2 linked regions of the Alligator mississippiensis genome follow. The protein of the gene in region 2 interacts with the protein of the main gene of each other region in a pairwise test. Links are inferred from orthologs where the notes say so. Each region holds a gene or a part of one and is shown on either strand. Other genes may lie near its edges.

Region 1 (8,998 bases), on a different chromosome or scaffold from region 2:
GGCGCCGGGTGCAGGTGGCTGCGCTGGTGCTGCCAGGACTCCCGCCCAGCTCATCATAGACGTTCTTCCAGAGCCGCCTGCCTGTGACCTGTGGTGGGAGGGAGGTGAGGGCCCCAGGATGTGCCCAGCGCCTTCCTCATGTGCCCCTGCCCTAGGGCATGGCTGGACGAGCAGAGCCCTGATCTGGAGGGCGATGACAGCTCAGGAGACCTGCAGCTGGAGCATTGCCAAGTTCTGACTTGCTCTCCCACCCATCCCCAGGGGCCAAAATCAGCTGGGATCTGGCTCCAAGCTTTGGTCCCCATGGCCCCAGCCCAGCTCAGCAAGCCAGGAGAGCCCAGAAGCTCCCCTTGCCTTGCCCCATGGCTGGAGCTCTGCTGCCCCCTATGCCAGGGCCAGAATAAGCAGTCACCAGCTGGGCACAAGGCCCAGAGGATGTGATCCCGGCCCCTCCCCTCCGCTCACCAGCTCGTAGGCACCCAGCTTCTCCACGGCCTTGTAGATCTTCCACAGGTTAACTGGACAGACACACGGACGGGAGCAGAGTGAGGGCAGGGCCCAGGGGAACCATCCTCGTGCCCTAGCCAGAGTACTGCCCCCCCTCAACCTGCTCAGGTGGGCCTGGGGGACCTCAGCCATGCTGGGGGGTTGCAGTGACCACAGGACCCAGCCGCAGCCCTCCCTGGGGTGCTGCCACATCAGGGCCCTGCCCAGGCCAGCCTGGCACAGGCAAGGTGCCACACAGACCTGTGGCTGTCAGTAAAGAAGTCTGGCAGATTTGGGACCAGCAAAGGATTCTGGAAGGCCCCGAGAGGTGCCAGGGGACATACTCTGCTTAAAGCCGAGGTGGGGGATCCTTTCAATGGGCGTGCGACGTTCCTTCATGAATTTGTAGAGGCCAACGAGGAAGGCCTGCTCCTCCTCCTTCTCACCGCTCAAGGCTGCGTCCTCGCCCAGCTCCCCTGCGGGGTCCCTCTGCTCCCCCTCAGAGCCACTGGCCTGCAGAAAGAGACAGCCCCACGCTCAGCCACAGGGGCCGGGAGCTGCCAAAGCCGGAGCGACCTCGGCCCTGGTCCTGGCAGAGCCAAGGGGAACCCAGGAGTCCAAGCCCCAAATCCCCCGTTGCTCTGACCACAAGAGCCTGCCCTACTCCTAAAGCAGCCAGAGAAAGAGAGAACCCAGGAGTCCAGGCTCCGAGTTCCCCATTGCCCTGACAGCAAGAGCGGCCAGAGACAGAGCCCAGGAGTCTGGGCCCCAACCGGCGAGAGCCTGTTGGAAGACCCTGAAGTCCCAGGTGGCAGCCCAGACTCCCAGGGCAAGACATGTCCCATGGCTCCTCAGAAGTCAATACTGCCTTTGCCGTCCTACCTCATCACCAGAGCCCACCCCCATGCCTCTGGGGCCTTTTCCCCTCTCCCAGCCCCATGGCCCACAGCACCCAACCGGCTCTAGCAGAAACAGCATGGCTCCTCCCACCCGGGCAGGTGGCCAAGTTGGTCAGAGCGGAGCACGAACGGGGAACTGTTTCCAGGAAAACAGAATGACCGAGATTCTCGCTCCCTCTCTGCTCCCCCAGCCTCACGCCGGGCTGAAAACACCGCTCCGTGTTTGCTCTGTGCTTTCCGGAGTTAGAAAACTCGCTGCTATTTTAGGGCAAAGCAGCTGCTTGGCTCCGGAGACCCCTTTCTTTGCTTTTTTTTCTCTTCTTCCGCCACTTCTTCTGTGTCTCTTCGCCGCAGGCGGAGACAGACCCAGCCTCTGAGGATGGGGGGAGGTTTGTTTTTTTAAGCCCCAGCAGAGTTGAGATCAGGCAGGGGAAGGGGGGAGAGGGGGCAGAGCTGCTGGGCACATCTCCAGCTTGCTATCCCATTCCTCCCCAAGCCTGCCAGGACCTTGGCAGAGTCCCTGCCCACGTATGCCTGCCCCAGTAGGGCATGGAGAGGGTCTCTTGCCTGGCAGAAGTTGGACTGAGACCCAACAAACTCATCTTGCCCACTGCAGGCCTGGCTTTGCTGGATATCTTTGGCCCTGCCCAGCCACCCCTGCTGTCTCTCATGCCCCATGGGGTGGAGGCAGCTTGAGTTCAGCACTGAGATGCTCTGGCCCCTGGCCTTGAAGGGGAGAAATCTCCCCTCTACCCTGCAACTAACTGGTCAGGGATGACCAGTGCCCCCCTCAGGCCCTATGTGTTTCCTGATGCTAGGAGACAACATGCCAGGAAGACCCCATGGGTCTGGTTCTGAAGGTAAGGATGCCTCTCATAACAGCTCCAGGGCATCCAACCAATTAGATGTCCACAGTGGTGGCACCTCCATGCCAGGCCACGGCCCTATGGAAGGTGCCGGCCGGGGGCTTAGGGTCCAGCCACTGACAGAGGCTCTGGGGAGCTCCCAGCCTCAAGGCAAGACCTGACATGCATCCCAGAACCCATGTACTTTAATGCTGTGATGGGCAGCACCACCCTGGCTGTGCTGTGGTCCAGGGCACCATGGGATGCTCTGTCATGGCTGTGACCCCCCCACACACACTTATGCACGTGAGAGAGAGACTGGCACACTCATTCAGCTGCCACATAGGCAGCAGCCTCCAACAATGGAACTAGAAGCCAGGAAGAGCTGTGGGGGCCTTGTGTGTAGCCAGCAGTCCCCTTTTGGGGTTACCAACACTGGATGTCAGGGTGTAGGGCTGGGTTTCCACACTGTGGGTCATGCCCAGCTGTAAGCCCCAGCCTGGCCTGGAACCCACTGCTCCATGGAGCTCCTCCAACTCTCCCCTGCCTCAATGCCAGGGAGAGGGCACAGGGGGCCAGGGAACAAACACCCACCTGCCCCTGCCCCCATGCTCGCCCTGGGACACATAACTTGTGCTGCTGCCCCTCAGTCCAGAAGGAACAGGACCAACCCTGGCCTGACCCAGTCATGGATGCTGGCGACAAGCAGCCAAGACTGAGGCCAGTAGGAGCCTGCTTGGAGTGGTTCAAGTGCTGTGCATGCAGGCTGGACTAGCCCCAAGCCCTCATGCCGGCTCGCGGGGGCAGCTGAAGACATGGCTCCCCACAACTTCTTCATCTCCCGGCACTCGAGCGCATCCCAGGACCCTCAGAAGGGGATGTGGTGCCCCATCTCACTCACCGCCTGGGGTGTGGGGTCAGTGGGACCTGGGTTCTCTTCAGCATCCAGTGCAGCAGCATCAGCAGCACCTGGCTGAGACACACTCTCCTCCTCCATGGCAGGCGGCACCTTCTTCTGGTGTTTCCCTTTGGGACTAGGGGCTGTGGGGAGGAAGAGGAGACAGGCCACTGAGGAGGGAGCCTGGCAGATGCCTGTCCCCAGTGCAAGGGCAGTTCAGGCCACCCAGCCAGCTGGCAGGGGGTGGGGAGCAGAGAGGGCTCATGCTGGGCTTTCCAAGAATGAGGCTACGTAGCCAACACGTTTCCTGCATTTATCAACAGCACCCTGCACTTTCACTTTCAGGGCGGCTTCCTGGAATTGGGGGAGAGCTGCGCATGTCCCCCCTGCTGCCTCAGCAGCCCCGGCATGGCCAAGGCAGATGCCTCTAGCAGCTGGAGCTGGCCAAGACCCCTCATCCCAACCCCGGCTGACAGTCCCCTAGTTGTACCCCCCCTTGGCCACGGAGCCTCCCAGCTTTGCCTCAGGCCTGCTGTGGGGACCCTGGTGCCACACTGTGACAATGCCAAGATGTTGTCCAGCACCCCCAAGACCCTGCCCCCCTGAGGAGACCCTGCATAGCCCCCTGGCATGGGGGTGGGGAGCACCACGACGCTGATGCCCCACGGGACCCTCACTTGGCTCACATCCCACCAGTGCCGAGACCTCCATCCCTCACACATGGGCCCTGGGGCACCACCATCTCCCCCCCCCCCCGTGCAGACTCAGCCCCCTCCCGGCTTGGAGCCGCAGAGAACGGGCCTCTTGCCAGCCCCCAGGACGTCCTGTTCCCGGCCCTGCCCCGCCCACGGCAGATGGGACATCTCTGCCATCCTTCCCAGCAAGCACTGGGTAGAGGGGAGATCCCAGGCTCCAGCCCTTGCCTCCCAGATCTCAGCACATCAGGGGGGCACAGGGGGATCCAGACAAGTGCCAGATGGGGTGATGCCCCTCTGCCCCGTGTTCCACGTTGGCTTATTAGCAGCAGTCCCCAGCACCGGTCTGGTGATGGAGCTAACAGCCATGGAAAACGGACCTCCTAGAGGCAGGCAGGCAGCGAAAGGGAGTCTGATGTTTCTGCGGCTCAGGCCCGTACCTGAGGGGGGCAAGACAGCCTCAGCCACCAAACCCATGGTGAGCACTTGCCCACAACTGCTCCCACTCTGTGGAGTGGGGGAAACTGAGGCACGGGGAGCTAAGCCACAGCTGAGCTGGGAGAGATGGGACCGATGGCAAGCACCAAGGTGCTGCCAAGTCCTGTGGGGAACCCAGGTATCCTGGACACGCACATGCTTATGCCTGCCCGCGCCCCGGGGATGCAGGCGCTCCCAGCCCAGCTCGTGTGAGTGGGGAGACAAGCAGCCCCCCGGGCCCTGGCACACGCCCAGCGCGGGCGGTACCGGCCGTGACGCCGATTCCGGGAAGCTCCATGCCCCGCCGCCCCATAATGTGCCTCCGCTGGGCACGGCCCCTTCTCCCCGCCAGCCTCCCCGGAGCCCCGGCGAGGGGACGGGGTGCAAGTCCTGCCAGCCCTATCTATGGTGCCCCCTGGCACCGGGACGGAGCTTCCCCACCTCCGGGACGCAGCTGGGGGGCTCCCCCCGCCAGGACTCCACAAGGGGGCCAGGGCGGCGCCCCCCGCCTCCTGCACACAGGGAAACTGAGGCAGGCCCGGCAGCGGAGGGAGACGGGCAGCCCACGCCATGCGCCCGGGAAGCCCCGGCTTCGGCGACACGCCCCCGGGAGGTGCAACTTGGTGCCCGCGTGTACAGCGTCCCGCGCATGCAAGCCCCAGCGTGCAAAGAGCGGGGGCGCACTGCCCTACGTGGGCAATGTCCCGCGTGCGAAGCCCCGCGCGACGCTCACCCCAGCCCCGCGACGCCCGCTCCATCGAGCGCTCCCGAGCCCGACTGAGCTCCGCGCCCGGCCGCCGCGCTGCCCCGCCGGCCCCGGCCGCCCATTGGCCACACGCGCTGCCCGTCTCCGCAGGGCCCCGCCTCCCCGACCCGGGGCACCCTGGGAGTTGTAGTCCCACCTTCGCCCCCTGCTGGAGGGGCACGGCGATCCACGGCCCTGGTCCCTCACCCGGGATCCGGTGGGCGAGTGTCCGCCCCCGGCCAAGCAGGGTCCCAGTCTTCTCCAGTCCCCGCCAGTCAGCCTCCACTCTTCACTTTCACTCATTTCTTGATGCTGGCAAAATCCTACAGCAGTAGTTTTCAACCTTTTTCCATTTGCGGACCTCTTTGGGAATTTCAAACAGAGGCACAGACCCATTTGAATTGTAAGGGTGGATATTCACATACTCTTGATTGATTGCGGTCATCTTTTGCAGGCCCCTTAGCCACAGCCTGCAGCCCCACAGGGCTCCACAGACCACAGGTTGAAAACCACTGTCCTAGAGCCATTCTTCTATGGCAAAGACCTCAGCACGACACCAGTAGGGTAGGAGGGTTGGGACACTGTGGATGAGAAATCACAGTATTTTTCTTGTGAATTGTGTAGGCGTTTGCACACCTGACAGTTCCCCTTCCAGGAGTCTCCCGGGTCCTCCAGCTGAGAATCACTGCTATGGACTTTTCAGGCTCGCTGCTGCTGCCACGGCTGTCAACATCCTGGCTGCTGCTCCCCCTGGACACTCTCGGCTTCCCAAGTCCTTTTTGAGGCCCAGCCAGGGCTCCCAAAGACATCGCGGCTGGCTGCTTCTGACCGGCTCTAGCAGCAGCTTTCTCTAACAGCCTTGTTTCAATTCCCCTTTCTGCTATTTCCGGGCCCTTCTTACGGAGCCAACTGACAGCATTGGAGCCTGTAAATAAATCTGGTTTTTCTCTCCAGCTTCCGCTCCCATGGCAAAAGGGCTTTATTTCAATTAAGACTCATGACTTACTCTCAAAACTGACCGGACAGGTGCAGATGGAGTCTCTTAGCTCAGTAGCAAGTCCAGTGCTGCTAATAAACCTGACACTCTCAATTCGCATCCATAACGGCCGTACCAACAGAGAGAAGGAGTTTGCAAGTTGGTCATTCATGCCATTGCAGCTACATTGAAACTCTGTCTTAACAGCAGCCCAGCAAAGCCTCTGGGTGGACAGAAGGTGCATTGAACTGTAGGGGCGGTGGAGCCGTTGGGGCAGTGGTTTCATGCCTCCTGTATGGCAGTAAAACCCTTGCACCCATGTGGTTACAGCAGTGGGACCAGGTCCATGTTGCTGGAACTACTGTGCCCCCATGGTTCTGCCTCCTGTGGTGTCTCTGCTCAGAAGAGCTGCAGGCGCTGGGACACCGATACCAGCCAGGCTTCCACATGGCCTTAACACGCTGACACTGGTGATTCTCACCTGGGGTTGCCATGATTCCTTTAAAGGGTGCTAACACTGTATACCATTCACAAGAGAAACCCAGAGATTTCCAATAGGAATCAAGTATCCAAGCCCTGTTGGCACCTTGCTGAGGTCTTTGCCAAAGAATCACTCCAGGATTGTTCTGTCATCAAGGAACAAGCAAAAGCAAATATCTGGCATTGTCCAAGCAGAGTCTGCAGTCTAACAAGGTGGGATGTTAGGTCTAACGAGGGGTGTCTTGACTCCTGTCAAAGTTGTGAACCACCAGTTTAAGCAGTCCGTAGGCTCTGTTGTCCAGAAAGTGACTCATAAGAACATAAGAATTGCCATTTACCACCCCTCGCTCTTGTCTATCCATCTATCCACCCTATCCAGTTATCTATTCACCCCATACTCTACCTGTCCATGTATCCACCCCACAGTCTGCTTATGCATCTATCTATCCACCCCACACTCTATCTATCTAATTTATCTATCCACTTCACTCTCTCTCATTAGTCTCTCCTCATATGGAAGCTCCTCCATGCTGCAAAATCCTTGTTGCACTCTGTGCCTTCTCTAGTTCTTCTGTCTCCTTTTGGAAGTGTAGGGACCAGAATTGGGTGCAGTATTCAAGGTGTGGCTGCCCCAGGGATTTATAAAGGGGCATCGGGATACTTTTGTGCCCTCAAACCCTGCCACACACTTACGTGCCCTAGTGAGGAGCCTGGAGAAGGACCCCCAGGGGAGCAGGGTGGGAGGGCTAGGGAGAGGCAGCAGCAGCAGGGTGAGAGAGGGTAGTGTAGGGGCTTTATTGCCCCTTCCAGCTGCAATTTCACTGACTCCAGCTTCAGAGCAGTGTCACTATCATTGCCAAAATCTTTGCTGCAAGGCAGCATGATTTCCTCTCTTTTGGGTTGTGAAGGAAGGGGCTGAAGGAAGAGGGAGAATGGCTCTGAGCACAAGAGAAGGGAGAGGCATGTGAACAAGCTGAGAAGCCCACAGTTGGTTTTTACAACTTCCTCCTCTGTGTTCAAGTCTCCTTTCTGAAGAACTGTCCCCAGAATCCCCTGACGGGACTGATAGGAGAGCAGCAGAGCGAGACCTGAGAGCCGGTGGTAACAAAAGAGACAGAGGTGGAGGGGGAAGCAGGGATGTCCAGGGAGGTGAATGCCCATTGGGGTCGATGGAGAGTGTGGCTGCTACTCAGCAGTGATGGCAGCCTGCATCAGAGGTAGCCAGGCGTGGAACTGTCAGAGCATTGTGGGTTTCAGATTGACCACGCGGGGTTAGCCATGGGCATCTGTGGAAGGCAAGGCAACAGTTCCTCCATCACATGCCAGGCCAACACTGCTCAGCTCCCATGGACTTCAGGAGGAGAAGGGGTTGGGACACCACAAGGCAGGGCCCTCTCCATGGGGCTGAGGTCCGGATAGAGTGGGTACAAAGGCCTGTGGTTTCCAGTCACCCATAGAGTCACAGAGAAGTAGGGCTGGAAGAGACCTGCAGAGGTCACCTCTGGTCCTAACCCTGCCTGAGGTGGGATCAGCCCTGTCCAAACCATCCCAGACACATCCATCATCTAAACTCAACAAAAGTCTACTGGTAACTCTGACACAACACCAGACAACACACCTGAATCGGCCACAGGGAAAGAGGGGGGCTGCAGCACCCAACGTCCTAGTGCTGTACAGGTTGTTAATAAATACTTGAGGGGTCCCAGGCAGAGGCTGTGCCCCCACTACAGAGAAAGGCAAACCCTCCCTGCCCCCCAGTCCATACCAGTCTTATCAGGGAGTAAAATTTCTTCCCGACCCCAATGCAGCATCAGACTCACCCTGAGCGGAAGGTCAAGACCTGCTAGCCAGGGCCCTCCGGCTTTAGCCCCAGCTGGAGCACTGGCACAGCCCTGTCACCATTTCCAGCCTGGGCTGCAGTGAACACCCAATACCTCTGAGGGAGGGTTGAAAACCCCTTGAGACATATAGCAAAAAGGCAGGAAAGGAGCAACCAGCAAAGCCCAGAAGCCTGGGAAATGCCCATAGCAAAGCACAGGTGTCACTATGCCTACATCATCCTTGACCAGTGGCTGTCCAGCCTCTCTCTGAATTCTCCAGTGATGGAGAGGCTGCAGCTCCTCTAGGCATCCATCCTACTGCCTCGCTGCTCTGATAGAGAAGTATTTCCTGATGCTCAAAAGGGCTTTCTCTCTTCTTCACAGCAGCCCATCAAGTCTTTGAAGTTGCCCAGGCCAATGCAGCTCCATAAACAAGACTGTTTGGCCTCTCCCTAGCCCTGTGTGCTACAATTCCATGAGACACCAGCCCCAACTGGCCCACAGCTGGGCAAAGATAGGCCCCGTGAGCACCACCGGAGCCCTCAGTACCTGATACACAACAGCAAACTGTTGTCTGTGGCTTCTGTGAACTCAGGGGCTGGGCAGGGCTCCCTTCCTGGTGACAGGGAAGGGTGCTGGGGGCAGCCTGCTGCTGCAAAGTTAAGTCCTTCTGGCCC
Region 2 (11,226 bases):
AGCTCAGCAAGTCCTGTTCTCTCCCCCTCACCCCAGTCTTTCACTCCCACTTCAAGTGTAGTTTTCCCTTGTACAAGATCTACCTACAGAGGCGATTTGCAAGAAGGCAAGCAAGAGGAAGCAGGCCTTGAAGAAAGCTGTGCAATAGCCTAGTGTTTTGTGAGGTCTAATGCAACTTTGGCACTTTATTCAAATTTTCAAAATAGTCTTTATTCTACTTTTTTTTTTTTAGTATAAAAAAATCCACAAGTTAAGTGCACCACAGTGTGTACAGAGAGAAAGACTTAATGCTGAACTTCCATAACAGTCAGTTAAATGGTTAAACACAACATATACACAATACACAGACTTAGATTAAACTGAAACCTCAAGATAAAATATATTCAAATCTGATTTTTTTTCTTCATAAAACAAAAACCCAAAAGATAGAGGATCCCTGAAATATTTCTTAACCCTAATAAGACTTCACTGTACCCAAGCCATTTTTTTTTTTTAATTATGCATTCCTAAAACAACCCAAACGAGCAAGGAAATTTGTGTGCTGACTGACAACTGCAACACACCTCAGTGCAGATGGAAACCACCTGTCTCTCTGTTCTGACTAAATCCCCTTAAGGAATTTTGCTGTCAAGACACCAGGCTGCTCTAAAACAGAAAACAAAAATGTTGCTAAGCTTGTAGTTTTTAAAGGTCTAGATAGCATTTAATGAAATGTTTAAACATGAGTTGCATTGTGTTTCTGGCACCAAAGCATGGCTTTGATTAGATTCTTAAATGTGCAAAGAAGTCCAAGATTCCTTGGAGTGTATAAAAGAACGCCCCGTGGTACACTCTAGCTGTATACCTTCCTGGAGAGAAATGAAGAGCAAATGTGAGCACAGAGTGCTTCAAGGGATCCCTTCTCCTAGGAAGTCAGGAAGGAAAAAAGCCCTATATGTCTGACTATGGGCCCTCCAGGGAAAAATTAATATGACTGGCTTTCTATCCACAGATTCTATAGAAGAGGAAACATAACACACATCTCTCAACCCTACTGCCAGGCCATAGAGTTGAGACAGGTCTGCACGGATTAGATGTGGAAGCCAGGTTTCTTTCCTAACCCTTTCCCACCCCCACAGCCAAATTCATACCTAGCTGATTAATAAAGCAAAAAAAAAAAGACAGTGCTACAGTATTTACTCCAGTGGAATTAAAAAGAAGATCTGTGGGGCTCCTTAGCTCACGTTCATTTCATGATTTAACCCCGGGTGAATAGAGGCACTGCTACCATGACATGGTTCAAAAGGACTCAAAGTGCCTGAAGGGATGGGCATCAAGAGGATGCCCCATCCAGTATGTGTCTAAACTGCAACTTCAGGTTAATATGACTAAAGCAGTTACATGGTGAGAAGTGCTGACAGTATGTGATGTCTTTCCTTACACAAATGAAGCCCCCTCCCCCCGCCCCCCTCGCGCCCCTTTTTGTTTGACTTGATTGTTCACCAGATAGTGTAGCCACCATCCGAGCCCCCCAGAAAGAAGTTCCCCTTCCGTTGCGTCACCAACACATTGGCACCCTGCATGACTGCCAGCTGGGCTGCATTGGGAGGGCAGCCAGGAGGTGGGGGCTGCAAGACAAGAGAGAGGAAAAAAAAGAGTTAAGAGGCTCTCTGAGGCAGAGGCTGCAGTGGTTGCTCAGCCTAGCACAGAAGACATCTTGGAGCACAGTGAAGATGCTCCCCTTTGCACGAGCACAGCAGAGAGGACAGCCTTCAATGACTGTGACCACAAGCAACCAGAAGTGATGGAAAGCACCTTACGCACACTGTCTGAACTGGGAACAAGAAAGGCAAGGGACCGGTAAAGGCAGTGGAAGAGGAAGGACTTAATGCAGACTTGGCTTCTCATCCATCTCCAAGCATAATGGACAACAGCCAGAGTACAAGATGCATCTTATAACACAGGGAGCCAAACACCAGCACTCAGTTTGCAGCCAATTATAAGATCATAGGAAAGCAGGGCTGGAAGGGACCTCATGAGATCATCTAGTCCAGCCCCCTGCTCAGGATCATCCCCAGCTAAGCCACCCCAATCAAGTGTCTGCCTACTCTCTCTCGAAATTTCCATGAACCTGCTTGTGAAATTGTGCTTAAATGCTTATGAGAAAATGCCTGGTGTTGAAGACTTAAGGACTGTCGTCTTGCCCCCGACTGCCAGCTTTACTGAGTAGCTCCAAAAGTGACACATGGGGTTTCTGTGGTATGCTCATACTTACAGGGATATTAGTAGTGGCACCAGCTCCAAACCGTGCTCCAGCATCAAAGCCACCCTCGACAAGAACCGCTGAGCCTGGGGGATAGACAGGACCCACAGGGTAGTATGCCATTGGAACGGAGGAGCCTATGGGTCCCACAGCCACAGACTGTGCCACAGGCAGGAACAGAGAAGTACCAGGATAGGCAGCAGACATAGTGGGCATGGTGGCAGGCCCTGGAGGCACAAAGCTTGGCCGGTAGAGCTGAAGGGAAAAAAAAAAAAAAGAACACAAGTGCATTGGAAGAAATATTCCTTGCTCCAAAGCCATTTCCTCAGATCCTTCCTCAAAGTGCTGATAATGTGATAAAGGCGTAGCAGCCCGATCAGCTGCACAGATAGCTCCATCACTTCTAACGAGAAGTTTGTTCACTTTACGAGAGGTCGAGGCACAACACCCTCTTCAGACCCTCTACTTTGCTTTTGCACCATAGCAGCCACTTTGTGGGAAGCTCTGAAGGAAGTTTCTGCCATTTAAGAGAGTGGGCCAATTCAAGATCTGCAAGAGGAAATGCCCGAATAGCACCCTGGTTTAGTCACCAAGTGAGCATGTACACATGCACTTTGGGGCAGAGGTCTCATTGGCTTTGTCAATGAGCAATCATTTAGCAATCATCAGTTGAGACCGCTTGCTGCTCTTGTCCTATGAGGTGAAAGGTGTTCCAAGCTGCCAGAAATACAGGCAATGAGCTGTCATGTGTTAATAGCTCAAAATGGGAGGCTGGAGGGGAGAAAAGGTGCAAGAGCAAGAAAAGGGCCATGCCTTATACCTCTGAGTAAGCAGGAGGCGCATCAGTGTACGGTGGTGGCTGAGGAAGAGGCATGGTCTGTGGATACACTGGAGGATTACCAGGGGGCTGGACTGGGTAGGAAGGCTGTGTTGGGTATTGACCTGAGAGAGAGAGAGAGAAGAATACAGCTGGTGTTAAGTTTTACCCTTACAGACATCGGACAGAGGGTGGATGAGTTCATGGAAAGCCCCTTCTTCTGCAGTTTTTTTAAGCAGGATTGCTAGAGATCGTTAACCCTGGAGGTGTTAGGCATGCACCAACAGATACCCCCCATGCGATTCCCAGCCACAGAGCCCGTTCATCACTCTCGACCAATACAGCTACTTCAGTCAGAACTGAAAGCAAGAGGTAGCTAGCAGTTATAGTCCTTCACAAGGAAGCAGGTTAAAAAAAAGTTAAGCAACTTCCTGTGGAAAGTTTACCAACAAACCACATTTTTCTAAGCTGGCACTTCACTGCTTGGACTTCAAGCTGACTCACTCTCCTACAAGTAGCACAGATAGCAGGGCATCAACTACGCTACGTATGGATCCGTTTGCAGCTACGGATGCGTTGCATCATATATGCAAACCCCCCCGGAGCATCTGTTCAGGATGCTAACATTATACGATGCAAAACTAACCCCATCTGCCTCGAGTCACGGAAAAGCTGAGCTCCCAAAAGACGAGACTGGGTTTCTTCAGGAAAAAAAAAAAAAAGGAGGCCTGAAGCTGGAAAAACACCGATACACCCCGACAAAAACAAGGCACCTACCAACCTCTTACCCTTTTAACTGTTACGGAATGAGAGCTGATAGACCACTATTGTGACGTGCACCTTCGTGTATGGACAAGAGCAGTTGTAGGCATGAGTAAATCTGCAAGCAAAGGCTGACGGGAGGTAATAATTAATACTGCTGTTAAGTTTTGAAGTCACCGCTGCCCAGTTCTGAGTGCAGCTGACACTGTGCTCTATTTTCTAATCTTTTTTTTTTTTTCCCCTTAACCCCATTGCTATCAGGTGTTTAAGAGCGGCGTGTTTACCTACTCGGTTGCATGCGAGCAGGTAACCACAGAGAGGCCGGACTCCAGCCAGCCACTGTCAGCTCCTGTCCGGCCTCCGATTATGTTTAAAGACCGCTCGTGGATTGTAAATGCCCAAAAGCAGCATTTTAATCTATTCCGAGTCCAGGGCAGGGTGAAGGGGAGGGGCGGGAAGAGGGACCCTAGTGTGAGCCCCCGCACGGACGGCAGGTTCTGCATGGACACGTTTAACCTCTGCGGTGCCGCCAAGCGACACCGACACCTGAGCACGCACACAGGTGTACGTGTGCGAGCGTGTTTGTGAATGCTGTACGGGTTTTAACAAGCGTGTGTGCATGTGGGAATTCTATATCGGTGTTAATGAGCGTGGTGTGCACGCGCATGTGTGTGCATATTCTGTGCAGGCTGTAGTGAGTGTGTACACACTCCTCTGGGGCCGTGGACAAGGCCAAGCGCGCCCGTGACGGGGCCTGGCAGGAGGCTCCGGCTGGCCCCCACCCCCGCCTGCCCCCCCATCGCCCTCCGCAGCAGGGAAGGGGTTAAGGGCCAGGCCGAGGCGCGCGGCGCCATGGAGACCCGAACCCCCGCCCCCCGCCGCGCTCCCATTGGCTGCGCCCCCCGCCCGGCCCGGCGGTGCCCGGCGGCGGCGCTGGCCTGCAAGGGGCGGGGGGCGCTGCCCGGGCCGCACCTTTGCTGTTCATGGCGGCGGGGCTGCGGCCGGGTCGCTGCGCGTCAGTCCGGGCCGGCGGCTGCACTCACTTCCTTGTTGTTGTCACTGCGGGCTGAGGGGACGCGCGACGTTGCCGCAGAGCGTCATGACGTCAGGGCGCCGTCGCGCGGGCTCTTAAAGGGGCCGCGGCCGGGCGGGGGCGGGGCTCCCGAGTTGCTGCGTCACGGCTGGGAGGGGTCGGGCAGGGGCGGCCTGTTCCTGGCTCGTGTGTCTGTGTCTACGCGCGTGTGTGCATGTATGTGTGCATGTGTGTATATGTGCTTGTGTTTATGCATGTGTGTACGTGTGTGTGTATGTGCATGTGTGTATTTGTGTCCATGTGTATATATGTGCATGTGCATGTATGTATGTAGATCTATGCATGTATCTGTGTATATATGCGTGTGCGTGTGTGCATGTATGTGCGTGTATGTGTATATATGTGCATGTATATATGTGCGTCTGTGTGTGTATATGTGCGTCTGTGTATATATGTGCGTGTATGTATATGTACACAAGGTTCCTCGGGTGAATCTGATATCTTTTATTAGACCAACTCAAATGGTTGGAGAATAGTTATTAAGCAAGCTTTCGGGTTCAGAAACCCTTCATCAGGCTAAGGAAGTGTCAGCAGTTGGTGTGTGCTCTTCCTGGATGGAATGAACATATGTGTATGTATGTGCGTGTACATATATGTATGTGCATGTGTGTGTATATGTGCGTGTGTGCATGCGTATGTTTGTATGCGTGTATGTACACATACACAGACTAAAGGTGCGTCAGTCAGCACAGTTCAAGAGCAAGACCTCCGCTCCCTTCATCCCGCGGGATCGATTTCCAAGCAGAAATCCCAGCCCTGGGCCGGGCCTGTGCCTCCAGGCTTGGGCTCTTCAGTCACCCCAAGACCGGTTGCTGAACCACGGTCAAGATTGTCCTCAAACCGAGGGATTGCTGCCCCTGGGGCAAACCTCCCTCCTCTTGTCTGCGGGAGAGCATGCGCCTGTTCTCCCAGTGTTGAAAGACTCATCCCCGCTTTCTGAATTTTAGATGTAAACTTTTCCTGACGCCTCCTGGTTTTGGGGGGGAAGAGGAGGAGAAAAAATCCTCAGGCCTCTTTCTCCAGCTCCTTCTTAAGCATCTCAATCAACCGGTTCATTCTTCTCTGTGTTTAAGTGAACTCCTCATGAATAATGTACAGGGTTCCTGATGAATATGCACATCGGCTTGGTATGCCTGTGAGGACTTTATAAATAATTTATGAGCATCAAATGTTCTTCACCTTGCTCCTGTATGGGGAACTATAAAAAAATATTTACCCTTTCAAGTGGCAGTAAGATCAGTATAGACAGCTTGAAACCCGCCTATTAAAAATACCCAGGGAAGTGGGTTTTTGCATCGCTGAAGTTGTAAGCGCTGAAGAGAAAGGGAGGAAAGGAAAATGCATTGCCATTAGCAAGAGAAGGGTAAAACGCTAGCCGTTTTCTCGTCACGAGCTAGAAAATGGTTTCTGAAGGCTGATGGAGACTTGCTGCCTGTAAAGGCCCTGATCTTGCAATCTACTGCATGTAAGGTGCTGAGCATGGTCTCAAAGCTCATGGTGACCGGTGGGAGAGTGGAGGGTGCTCAGCATTTAGCAGGATCACCCCCACCCCTCACTAATGGAAATGTGTCAATATTACCATTCTTTCTTTCTAGTCTCCTGATGCTGCTATACAGGAAACTTCCCAGCAAAGGCAAAGCACATGTTCTTTTGTGACCGGGAGAGAAAAAAAAAAAAAGCAAGCAAAGCATTTCATTTCCACTCAGGAGAGCCAGCACCTTCCAGAGATTTTGAAAACCTGGAAGGATTTAAATATATATATATATACTATCTTGTTTGAGAAACCTGCAGCCTCATGGAGACAGCACTCAAAGCTCCATTTCTTAGCGCTGCTCTGCAAATCGAGCCCAAAGTGTCATCACCCCTGAACTGACGCCCTTAAAACTAAAGGCTACTTTCAAGTGCTAGGCTGTGCACAAAAGGTCTGCTTGGGCACATCTACACGTGCGCTTTAAAGCGCATTAGCCTATTTTAATGTGCATTAAAGTGTCACTTTAAAAACAGTGCTATTTAGTTAATGTGCATTAAAATAGGCTAATGTGCATTTTCTTAGTACCTACACGAGCAGCAAGGCTGCTCCTATGTGCTGTAATTCCAGCGTGTTGAAGCAGACTCAATTAATCAAGTCTGCTGGAGCATGGCAATTACCATCATTTTGAAGCATGGGGACAGTGATAAAGGAAACACTCAGGGCGCTTTAATTAGAGTGGCACTCGGAGCTGCTCTAATTAAAGCATCTCCCCCAGCCTTGCATATAAATGCCCCTTGTGCTTAGAACAAAGCATTCTAAGAGGGACTGGGACTGGGAGGGTTTTCTGTCTGTGGGTGGCCTGGGACACTTGTTTGCACTTAGCAGCTAAAATGCAAAACATTGGAGTTGCAGGAAAGTTTAGATCTGCCCAAAGTAGGCCAATGCCCCAGGGAGTGGCACTGCTTTTTTCACGGTGATGTTGCGCAGGGCCAAAACGTGCAGACCAGCATGGCAACACACGTGCTTTAGTGAGCATTAAAGCATCACCAAAAAAAGTGGGCTTTCACTAATGCACGTTAAAAAAAAGCTAATGTGCCTTTTTCTAGTGGTACTAATTTTAATCGGCATTAGCAAAAGCACATTAATGAACATGTCGAGGTGCCCATTGACATGGATAATTTTTGGGGGGGTGGGTTCCCCTCAATTTAAATCAAACTCACACCTGGAAAGGCCCTGGGTTTCCCAACGTGTGTGCAGTACTTATACTCCTGTGTTGTTAGCCTGAGGTTAACAACAGTTGTGGCCACTCAGAACCCTGCAGGTGCAGAAGCCTAATTGGTGATATCAAAATAGTAATTAATCATTAGCTGATAATTACTTTGTGACAACTCCTGCTTGCTACCCCCCCAGGGCAAAGTTCTGGCCCCATGGAAATGAATGGGAGTTTTGTCCATGAGTTAGTTGGGGGCAGAGTTTCTCTGGCGGGACAGGTGAAGCCTGCAGGCCAACATAAAGACATGGTAGACTTCTCTCTCTACCTGAGCTCTAGGCAGTGGGAAAGGCAGGCCTAGTCCCAGAACATCTGGAGGAAGCTGGTGAGTGGCAAATGCATCAGTTGTGGAATTGCATATCTCTGAGGGGTGTCAGAAACTCCATGGTTAAGTGCACTCCCTTTGCTACGTATGGTAGAGAAACCAAATGTCTAAACCAGTGAGAGGCAAAGACAAGAAAGCTGGAATACTAATTTGGGCTTCTACCAAAATATCCTGTGGACGTAGCAAGCATTGGAACAAGGGGCTTGACAATCGGCCAGAGCAAATGTTATTTCTGTCAACTATTCCTAGGCCACATTTGAATATAATTTTTTTTCTTCTCTCTCTTTCTCTGACCGAGCTATTTTCTGCAGTAAAGATTCTGGCGCTTGTAAAATAAATTCATCTTGGAGATAAATTAAAAATGCAATGTGTACCCTTTTATCCCCCTTATGTATTATATTAATAGTATGCCAATGTATGCAAATGAGTGTGAAATTCAACTAGATGGAAGTATTTAAATATTCATAATCACAGTACAGCATATGCAAACCAGACTCTCAACAGAATTGTGCTGCAGAGGCTCAAATAACAGCTGTACTGAAGCAAAGACATTTTGAACATAACTGATCCGGTTACTAATGAAAATGTTGTCGGCAATGGGGGTGTATTTATTAATGTTTGTGCACTGGTATTAATATCTGACTCGGGCCTCAGTTCAGGCATTTAAGTTTCTGCTTAAGTCTAATTGAAGTCAGGCTTGCATTTATGTACTTCCTTGAACGGGAAAGAGCTGCCTACAATGCCTTGTTCAAGGAGTTCCTCTGAAAAAATAGATCTGGTACTCATCAGATCTTAAATATGACCTTGTTGTGATCGTAGAGAGGAGCCAGTCAACTCTGAATTATTTTAATTCAAAATACTTTTTTTTTTTTTTATTCCTGAAAATAGGATGTAGAATATAAATTAGAAGCAGAAACAGCAGTTACATGCTTTTTACTATGAATGCACATTACCCAGGTTTCAGGGGCGTAGGTTATAGCCGTGTTGGTCTAAGGCAGGGGCGGGCAATTATTTTGGGCAGAGGGCCACTTACTGAGTTTCGGAAAGCCATCAAGGGCCACATGACAGGCAGCCCAGGGCAGGTTAATTAATTTTCTAATTTTTTTAGGGGCCCTGCAGACTGGATAGAATGGCCTGGCGGGCTGCATCCAGCCCCCGGGCTGCATTTTGCCCACCCCTGATCTAAGGACACTGGCAGACAAGGTTCTTTGGGTAAATCTGATATCTTTTATTAGACCAATTTAAACAGTTGGAAAAAATTTTCTTAGCAAGCTTTTGGGCACAAACACACCCTTTGTCAGGCTGATGAAGCTTCATCTAGGTTGTATTACCCAGGTTGTGATGTATGTATTTGTTCATGTAAAAGCGGACGTGTATTTTAGAAGCATGTTGTGACAATCTTATGAACTTTAAACAAAGGTTAATTTTAAGGCAAAGATTTAAAATCAGTCCAATAGGCAAAGATTTAAAATTAGTGCAGTAGCTTTTCTGCAAAGCGAAACCAGAAGCTATAATTCTTTCCAGCTAACACTGGATGTGAAAGAATGAGGTAAAAATAATTCTGCTTTATGAAGCCACATTCTTTTTTTTAAGAGGCAGCAACAAATGAAACATGCTGCTCTTTCCCCCACACCCCCCGACCTTGCTTAAAGAAAAGAAGCTAACATTCATGCCATTATTAATTTTAGAACATGCACAAAGCAAAATAATAGGATACGTTGGTTCCTTTTTTGCAGTGAGTCAGAGTGAGTCAATTGGTCCATCATTTGGTTTGAGTTGAAAAAACCCACAAATCTTTCATCTGTGATAGGTTGATGTTAAGTTGCAATTGAGTTTCCTTTATAAGACTGGTTTCCTCTGCTTTCTTGCCCCTTCCCTCCCCGCCTAAAATCTGCCTTAAAGCTGCTAGGTGAGACTGGAGACTGACATCGTGCACAACACCCAAAGTGAATGGGATGGCATTGTGCTGAGTGATCATCCCAGCTAAATACAAATGCTCAGCAGCAATCAGGAAGTGATCCAGCAGGTTTTATTTGCCACTTAGAAATGAAATTCACTCATTGCCTTCCCAAGAGGTCTTATCTCTGTATTGGTTAGAGCAGGGCTGCCCAACTTCTAGGTGGCAGGTGCCTGCAGAGCCCTGGGCTGCATGGGTGCATACCATGGAGGCAGCCCATGGCACTTCTTCCCCCCAGCACTGTGGGCAGCCCAGCTCTGCTCTGAGCCACACATGCGGTCTAGCTCCTCTCTCCCAGGCTGCACAGAGGGGGAGCAGCGCAGACCCCCTCCTCGCCCTCCCTCCCCCCCCCCACTGCACCACCCTGCCCCCCAGAGCAGAGCAGAGCAGGAAGCAGAAGCCCAAAGAAAGTGGGGAGCCAGCAGCAGGAGCAATGGGAGAAGTGGCAGCCAGGCTTGCACCCCGCGGACCTGCAGCTGGACCGCCCTGCATTGGACAGCGATGACATCCTTGTCGGGAGGTGTCACGTGCAGACAGTTTCTGTCCCATAGAGATTAGGACCTGAAAGTCAAAATTCACGCCTGGACTGAACGCGCCTATAGTAACTCCGGGCGTAAACCTGTTTGCAATCTCAGGCCCTTCTGCCATCTCCATTACTGTCCCCTTTGAGCACTTCAAATTCTTCCCCAACAGCCTGGCGAGGGCGGTGCTGCTTTTTCTGGGAGTCGGGTACGTATATACCAGGACGCACCTGGGCCTAAGAGACGTGCCCAAGGTGATGCCAGAAGTCGGTAGCAGAGGAGAGCATTACACCCAGGGCTAGGAAACCCCAAGTTCACACTGTAACAACTAGGCTAAGCCAAGCTACAGCGCTGCAGCCTGTTAACTCTCCTGCTGGCCTTTGTCTCTAAGGCTCTCAACCAGTGTCAAAGCCGTTAACTTGAGTGTGCTTCGGATCCAGGCTCCCGGAGAAGGCAGGTGCCAGGGCATCCCCAAAAAATAGCATTACAGTCACTATCTTCCCCCCAGGGGCTCGTGAAGGGGATGCCCAGGTGCCCCCTCCCCTCCACCACCAGACAGAGATCTGCTACAGGCCCTTTCTGGAGCGGGAGAGCGGAGGCAGGCCTCGTGCCTATTATTAATGCTGGGAGGCTGGATCTGAGAGCAATGCTACTCCAGTAAAGTGGAGCGTCTTGAATTATTACTGGAGCTGGCGGGGCAGGCTGCCAGCCAGGGAGCTGCTCCTCCCCCAAGCCAACCCAGTCTGGAGGGGGGCACCGGAAAGTGTC

The links. The genes of interacting proteins can lie anywhere in the genome.
Region 1: the proteins of DAZAP2 (region 2) and ARID5A interact in binary tests that used the Homo sapiens proteins (3 or more experiments, as listed by UniProt). The two-hybrid records come from large-scale screens. The link is inferred for Alligator mississippiensis from reciprocal best matches to the Homo sapiens genes DAZAP2 and ARID5A.

Annotation. Positions count from the first base shown.
Region 1 is NC_081830.1:10,575,027-10,584,024, forward strand, and holds the start of ARID5A (AT-rich interactive domain-containing protein 5A), read right to left. Parts: upstream 5,130-8,998; 5' UTR 5,059-5,129; coding exon 5,034-5,058; intron 4,976-5,033; exon of another isoform or gene 4,742-4,975; intron 3,272-4,741; coding exon 3,132-3,271; intron 1,000-3,131; coding exon 831-999; intron 519-830; coding exon 466-518; intron 89-465; coding exon 1-88. UniProt on the Homo sapiens protein: DNA-binding protein that may regulate transcription and act as a repressor by binding to AT-rich stretches in the promoter region of target genes.
Region 2 is NC_081838.1:10,210,294-10,221,519, forward strand, and holds DAZAP2 (DAZ-associated protein 2), read right to left. Parts: upstream 4,921-11,226; 5' UTR 4,807-4,920; coding exon 4,794-4,806; intron 3,953-4,793; exon of another isoform or gene 3,848-3,952; intron 3,185-3,847; coding exon 3,063-3,184; intron 2,498-3,062; coding exon 2,255-2,497; intron 1,608-2,254; coding exon 1,479-1,607; 3' UTR 185-1,478; downstream 1-184. UniProt on the Homo sapiens protein: In unstressed cells, promotes SIAH1-mediated polyubiquitination and degradation of the serine/threonine-protein kinase HIPK2, probably by acting as a loading factor that potentiates complex formation between HIPK2 and ubiquitin ligase SIAH1.